2 linked regions of the Arabidopsis thaliana genome follow. The protein of the gene in region 1 interacts with the protein of each later gene in a pairwise test. Each region holds a gene or a part of one and is shown in the gene's direction. Other genes may lie near its edges.

Evidence for each region. The genes of interacting proteins can lie anywhere in the genome.
Region 2: the proteins of AT4G03250 (region 1) and ZIM interact in a two-hybrid assay, tested with the Arabidopsis thaliana proteins (one large-scale study listed by BioGRID).

The regions. Positions count from the first base shown.
Region 1 is NC_003075.7:1,423,351-1,427,104, forward strand, and holds the start of AT4G03250 (Homeodomain-like superfamily protein), read left to right. Parts: upstream 1-1,551; 5' UTR 1,552-1,699; coding exon 1,700-1,709; intron 1,710-2,188; coding exon 2,189-2,296; intron 2,297-2,379; coding exon 2,380-2,985; intron 2,986-3,160; coding exon 3,161-3,240; intron 3,241-3,386; coding exon 3,387-3,754. Other genes in the region: FH (frataxin-like protein), read right to left, coding at 335-464, 690-784, 884-931, 1,029-1,101, 1,191-1,408.
Region 2 is NC_003075.7:12,643,500-12,647,253, forward strand, and holds the start of ZIM (GATA-type zinc finger protein with TIFY domain-containing protein), read left to right. Parts: upstream 1-2,064; 5' UTR 2,065-2,285; coding exon 2,286-2,591; intron 2,592-2,747; coding exon 2,748-2,837; intron 2,838-2,921; coding exon 2,922-3,055; intron 3,056-3,525; coding exon 3,526-3,633; intron 3,634-3,742; coding exon 3,743-3,754. Other genes in the region: CLT2 (CRT (chloroquine-resistance transporter)-like transporter 2), read left to right, coding at 1-17, 95-132, 212-327, 652-751, 844-879, 967-1,017, 1,223-1,346, 1,436-1,561 and 1 more. UniProt on the Arabidopsis thaliana protein: Transcriptional activator that specifically binds 5'-GATA-3' or 5'-GAT-3' motifs within gene promoters.

The DNA.
Region 1 (3,754 bases):
TTTTTTCCGAAATTATTGTGAGATTCGAGGAGTTTTGACAAATGTAGGACTTTTGTCGTTCAAAAGAAATGTTTTCATCTAAAACGCGTAAACCTGTAAAAGGCAGCTTCAGCTCTGATTAAACAAAGAGACTTGCAACAATGTCACTATGAGACATTACTGTTTAAAAATAGATTCAGAAACACTAATCAGTTTTCACACTAAAACAACTTTGTCTTCTGCCTTGTTTGTTTATTCCTCTGGATGTTTCATAGATATACCTTTAACAGGGTATAGCAGTTTCAAGTTCATAGATGAAACCCTTTCGCTCACAAATATTGTTTTAAAGCCTTCTTTATGAGAGTTGGATTGGTTCACCACATAGATTCTCTAACTCCTCTTCCAGGAGTTTATGCAACTTTGCTTCAGTTCGCCGATATATCCACGCATTAGCATCACGGTCCCAGTCAAATCTAGAAGGGCCACTGCACCGAGACAAAAGGAAGAATGAAGATTACATTAATGTGAATCTAAGATGTGGAAGCACAAAGTCAAGAGCAACAACACTATACAGTCATAAACAGTTTCATTTCTCCAAATATCATGAGTACAAAAATCAGAAGAGAGAGCAGAACATGATAATCCAGATGCGAAATTCAATCTAGGCGCCTAAAGTTAGCAACTTTCAAAAGGCAAGAAAGAATCTTTACCTCACAGGTGAAGACATCCAGATTTGTCGATTTGGAGTTTGCTTATTCAGTACATAAGTGCCTAAAGATCCAAGCTTAAGGGTAAGAACTTCATTCTGTTGGAAACAGCCAAAAGGACTGACTATAATAAGTACACATAGATTTCCAGAAATATGAACAAGATCTTAAATTGCTTAAAAGAGTTTAATCCTTACCCCATAATCTATGTCGAAACCATCAATCTGAACATTATCACCATAATCCTGAACATGAATCATGCAAGTAGAACATAGTGTAAGCTATTGCAATCTCAAGTAAAACGAAGAACCCTAGAGAGAAAAAGGTTCCAGCTTCAAATACCTCAATTTTCTCAAGAAGGTGATTAATTGTGAAGTTGGCTAATTTGTGAAACTCTTCCTCCTGCAAAACCGAACTGTTTTTTTCTTCCACTTTGTTCATATTCTCATGAAATTAACGATTCAGATACAATAAAGGAGATCAAAATGGAGAATATTAAAGTACCTGTAATCGACAGAAGCAGGACCTTGAGAAGAGAAGCTTCTGGTAGTCAAAGAATCATGGCGGATTCGAGATCCTATTCTCCAGAAGGAATCCAACGGTTCTATGGAATCTTGAATCAGATTGCTTGAAACTCTTACGCCATTGCTACGGAGAAGAGTTGGAGACAGCTTGAGAAACCTCGGCAATTTCCGTAGAAGAAACCTTGAAGCTGTAGCCATGGCGGTTCTGTCACAAGAAACATTCGACGCCTCTCTTCTTCTTATTCCTTCGTTGTCCAATTTAGGCCCACAATAAGGCCCAAATTTAGATTTACCCGGTTCACGTATTTCCCATGTTCCGGTTTACTGAAACCGGTATGGTTCTCAAGAGATTTGTCATTTGTGTGCGAAGAAGAGTTTTCTTCTCCTCTCATAAGAAAAAACCAGAATTTTGAAGAAGGAGAAAGAAAAAAATCTGGGTTTTTGGGAGCTGATTAGGTTTTGTTCCTTCAATCTCTGGGAATTTTCGCTATGCACTCAGGTGAAATTCGTTTTTTCCTCTATTTCAATCTCTGTCTTCCTGCGAGTTTACGTGAGAGAATAGTTTTTAATGATCCCGAGTTCGTCGAATTACAATGCAACTCCCAGTTTTTGTAGTTTTAATTAGCGAAATTCATCAATGGCATTGGAAATTTTAAGCCTTTTTTGGTTTGTTTTATGGTACTACTAATTATTCAAGCTAAGGAATTCCAAAGTTTTCGTTCGTTTTGATTGGGTTTAGAAGTATTTGGCTGATGAGAGAAAGAGCCATAATTCTGAAATTAAACCCTTTTATGTGAAGCTTGTGTAGATGTTTTACCTGAATTTCGGAATTACTAGCAACATTTCTAAATACACAAAGCATGATTGTAAAATGAAATTGATTTTGGTCAGGGCTTTGCATCTCTTGGTTATTGAATGGTGTCCGTGTTTCACTATTATCTTCTTATGTTTTTGATTTTTATGTGCTATTTTCGATAGATTCAGGCGAAGCGACCGCTGATGGCGATAAAGCTTCTACAGAAAACAGCAAAAAACGGAAGCTTAAGACTCCTATGCAAGTTATGGCGCTTGAGAATTTCTACAATGGTAAATTATGGCTTTGTTGTTTGCATATGTTCCTTTATACCAAGTTGTATATGCTTTACAGGTGTGATTTGGTTTTTCTACAGAGCATAAGTATCCGACTGAAGAAATGAAGGGCAAGTTAGCAGAGGAAGTTGGATTAACTGAGAAGCAAGTTTCAGGTTGGTTCTGCCATAGAAGGTTAAAAGACAAACGTCATGTAAAAGAAGATGGGAATGCCATTGGGAGCCAAGATCGGTCAAGCGTTGTTCTTCAGGATCGTGGAAGTGGGCTTCGACAGGATTCATGTGGTAGTACAAAGCAAACGGATTATTGGAACCCCAAGCCTAGGGAAGTTGAAAGTCAAAGGCTTTATATGGGAAATGCTGATGGTGAAGATAGTACATCTTCTGATCGTAGCTCATCATTACGTAAGAATCTTGTCTCTAGCAAAGATGGAATTCGCGATGTGGAAAGTTCTAGATATGTTGCACATAAAGACGTTATTCAGCATCCTCAGTTCATGAGAAGCTATGGGTATAATAAGCCTTCGGGATACTTGAAAGTGAAGGGAGAGAGTGAGAATTTTGCTATCACTGCCGTAAAGAGACAATTAGGAAGACAATACCAAGAGGATGGTCCACCTCTGGGGGTTGAATTTGATCCTCTTCCTCCCGGTGCATTTGAGCCTCAGACTAATCCTATAGTTCACGGTGAGTCATGATAAAATGTTTCAACTTTACCTTTAATTTTCTGGTTTATGATGTTATGAGTATTGAGTAAGTGGCTCAGAGAAGCTAAAACCATCTTCTTCGTGTGTCAGATTGTGAATGCCTTTACCCATGTCCAGTCGGATTTGATTGCTTTTTCTATCAACTGTTTTGTCAGAGCCAATATATGTTGGGAATCAGAGACGGCCTCACCTTCCACATTTACTTGGAACGAGGAAGAGCTTTAATCCTGGTCCTGTAAGTGAACATTTTCTGTATACTACATACCCATGAAGATAATATAAACTAGAATCTTAGTCTGCCATCACATTCTTTGGCTAAATTATCTTACTTTCTTTGAAGTATTATTAATATTTTCGTTTTCTGTCTTAATGTCTTTATAGAGCTATGAATTAGCTCGTAAATCAAAGTTGCATTCGCCAGATCCAGATTCAGAGGATGATGAGCATGATGATGATGACAACATAATGGTTGGAATGGAGCCTGGTCTAAGAGATAAGAAAAGTTTTGGGGAACCAAGACTGAAATCCCCTTCTACCAGTTTCTATAATTCTGTACCTCGCCACAAATCGTTTAAAGAGACATTCAAAGGTTCACCACGGGAAATCCCTGTAACTAACAGCAAGAAGGGTTGGATAAGTTCCAAAAGTTGGGCTGAAGGGTCGAGAAACCATCTGGTTGCCAACGTCCAAAATCTTTCTGGAAGCAATATTGAAACCAATCAGTCTCATGATTATGATAATAATATATC
Region 2 (3,754 bases), about 11 Mb from region 1:
TGGCATGGCTGCAGCAGGTATCCCATTTATAGCATGATTGAAACTTTACATATTTATAAGGTTACATATGGAGTGATTCCACTCTCTGTTGCAGCAATGCTTCCTGGACCAGTTATACCCATTTTGAATCAGGTCTTTTGGTTTTATGATTATCTTCTTGCTCATTTGTTCTCATGGGGGTGTTGAACTCATGCCTCCCAATGTTTGGCAGACATATTTGGTGTGGCAGCTGCTTTTTGCTCTTCTTATTTTAGGCAGGAGGTTTTTGCTTAACCAAATTGCTGGTTGTCTCCTTGTGGCTGTGGGGGTTGTGGTGGCTGTTTCAAGGTATTCCTTCCTCCCTCTTCTCTTCTTCTAAAGTTACTTTTATCTTCTTGGATCTGGATGCTTGATCTTGGGGTAGAGAAATGTTTGTGTATCCGTGGTCATTTACAGATTATATCAAGAGAGTGCTTTCAGCTCTTACAATCTAGAAAACTAGTTTTCATGGACCAGAGTCACACCTATCAAATTCACCATGCTAAATGAATGGAGACGGCTCTACTTTAGTATTTATCATCCACATAGCAAATAGAAGGCCCTGATTCTAGAGAAGCTTGTGTGATAGTGATACTTTCATTTTTGTGAATGCTGACTGTAACTCATCTGCAGTGGATCTGGTGCAGATACTACGCTATCTGGAATCGGTTTCTTATGGCCTGCTGTATTGGTAGCATCCGCTGCTTTTCAAGCTGGTGCATCTATCATAAAGGTGAAGGTCGCTCTCTCTTATGAGTTGTGAACATTTCTATTTTATTTTCTTTTGCCAAGACCCAAGTTGTTAAGTGTTTTGTCTGTTAACAGGAATTTGTTTTCAATGATGCTGCAAAGCGTCTTGAGGTATCTCCCTTATCCCCTGCATCAAACAGGAATGCTTTTCTTTCGAAACTTTGCTGAATTAACTCTAAGATTAACTGGTGGATGCAGGGAAAGTCACTGGATATATTTGTGGTAAATTCATTTGGATCTGGATTTCAGGTATCTACTACTACAATATCATGTTGTAAATGTATTTGTTACAGCCAAAACAATTAGACATGCTTCTCCATTACATCAAGAGTACGTGAAGAAAACATTTGAAAGCTGCTTTCCTCTGTTATTCACTTATTATCTCTCTCCTACTTGAGAAGAGTTTTTGTTTTTTGGTTTAGTGTTACGGATCACTGAAGCTGTGCTTGTGCAGGCTCTTTTTGTGTTCCTGTTGTTGCCTTTTCTCTCAAACTTGAAAGGCATTCCATTCGCCAGCCTTCCTTCATATCTAAAAGATGGTGCCGGATGCTTCTTCAACACTGGAGCTAAGATTTCTGGTTAGAGACCATTCGACACTTGTTTTTTTTTCCTTCATTGAATTTTATTCACTGCTAAAACTTTGTGATTATCCATTTGAGAATTTCAGGCTGTGATGGTGCCCCTATACTCCCACTGCTCTATATATCCACCAATCTCGCTTTCAACATCTCATTGCTCCATCTGGTGAAAATATCTTCAGCAATCGTTTCCTCTCTTACCATGATGCTCTCAGGTCCATATTTCTATCCTTCCATGCAACGCCTCTTAAGTGTCACCAAATACTCAAACCCATATGAGATAATACTTTTGGTGTTGTTGTAGTGCCATTAGCGGTGTACATAATGTCAAAACCATTGCCGTATCTACCGGGAGGATCAAGCTTGAGCTCAAATTTTACGATGGGGTGTATAGTTCTTGTCCTAGGTCTTCTTCTCTACAACATTCCCACTACTCCAACTAAACAACACACCAAGACCTCCTAACACACTCACTCACCATTCATCCTTTTTGTGCATTACTTTTTTTTTTGTTGATAAACCAAATTCGTGTAATTTCCCAATTTTTTTTCCTTTGACCATCAAAGATACATAGAATATTCTCAGATATTTTTTTTACGTGAAAAACTAGCTTAAAGAAAAAAAAAAAAAAAAAAGAATAACAAGAAGAGAAATTTGTGATTGGTTAAAAATCCAGTAAAGTAGAGTCGTCGGGTCGTCTCGGAAGCAGTGCTGCGATTTTACCTAAAGTCACCTTTTTTTTTTACCGTCGGGTGAATTCGACGACGGTCCTAATCTCGCCTCCTCCACACGCGCCGATCACCATCTCTCTCTGTAATCGCTCTTCTCGATGTCAACTATTTCCTTCTTCCTTTGCTCTTAGGGTTAGGGTTTATTTTGTTCTTTCTCTATATCCTTCAATCAATGTGAAAAAAAAGCTCTCCCTTTTGGCAGTTTCCGATGTTTGGTCGCCATTCGATTATCCCAAATAACCAGATTGGTACCGCCTCTGCTTCCGCTGGTGAAGACCATGTCTCTGCCTCCGCTACGTCTGGTCACATTCCTTACGACGATATGGAAGAAATCCCTCATCCTGACTCTATCTATGGTGCTGCCTCCGATTTGATTCCCGATGGCTCTCAATTGGTTGCTCACCGATCCGATGGCTCTGAATTACTTGTTTCTCGGCCACCGGAAGGGGCGAATCAGCTTACGATCTCGTTCCGTGGACAAGTTTACGTTTTTGATGCCGTTGGTGCTGACAAGGTAATTCTACTCTGTCCCTCTTTTGTTATTTGTGTGAAGTCTCGATGGATGCATCTGAAACATAACATCTGATGGCTTAGGGCACGTAACGATTGCCTCTTTTGCACCTTTGTGCTTTTGCTAGTCTTAACCAAACTTTGGAAATTGATTTCGTAGGTGGATGCTGTGTTGTCGCTGTTGGGTGGTTCTACTGAGCTTGCTCCTGGTCCGCAGGTGATGGAACTAGCTCAACAGCAGAATCATATGGTAACTTTGTTATTTGTGTTCAAATTCTGCTTAAATTGTCACTTCATCTCGATTCCACCTTTTTCAGTTTGGTGTTATTTTTAGCCTGTTGTAGAATATCAGAGCCGCTGTAGCCTTCCGCAACGGGCACAATCCTTGGATAGGTTTCGGAAGAAGAGGAATGCTAGATGTTTCGAGAAGAAAGTAAGATACGGTGTTCGCCAAGAAGTTGCCTTAAGGTCAGTGTGTCAGTCTTGAGTTTTACCAATTTATGCCAAAAGCTGTTACTCTGAACAAAATTCTTTCACCTTTTCTGGGATAAAAATTTAGTATTCTTGTATAGCTAAACTAAAAATTTTCTACTCTTCTGGCTATGCTCTGGTTGCTTAACTACTTCCTCACTTTCGTGTGCTATGGATTGAAAGGAAATCTGTTCATATTCAACTAGTTTACTATCTAGCTAGTTTTCTTTTATTTGTTTCAAGAAGTTTGGTGACCATGTAGGTGTTTATGTAGAGTAGTAGGCTTCATTGTCCATGGCTTGCTGTAGTATTTGACAATATGGTTGTAGTTGAGCAGGATAGACATCTGAGTCTTTGTTAGTGTGATAAGTAGCTTTTACTGGAAATAATCGACATGTCTATTTCAATAATAAGGGATAGGATTTGTCACCTTCTCTGCCTCTCTGACCTTTGTTAGTGTTTATCAGAATGGCACGTAATAAAGGTCAATTCACCTCTTCAAAGATGACAGATGGGGCTTATAACTCTGGCACAGATCAAGATTCTGCCCAAGATGATGCCCATCCAGAAATATCGTGAGTTCTTTCTCTTCTCTGCCAATTAACTGTTCCTGCAATTTTTGTTTTCCACTAATGTGGGACATTTTGTTTGCACTTATTTTAAACGTGAGTGTGTCTTATGTAGGTGTACTCATTG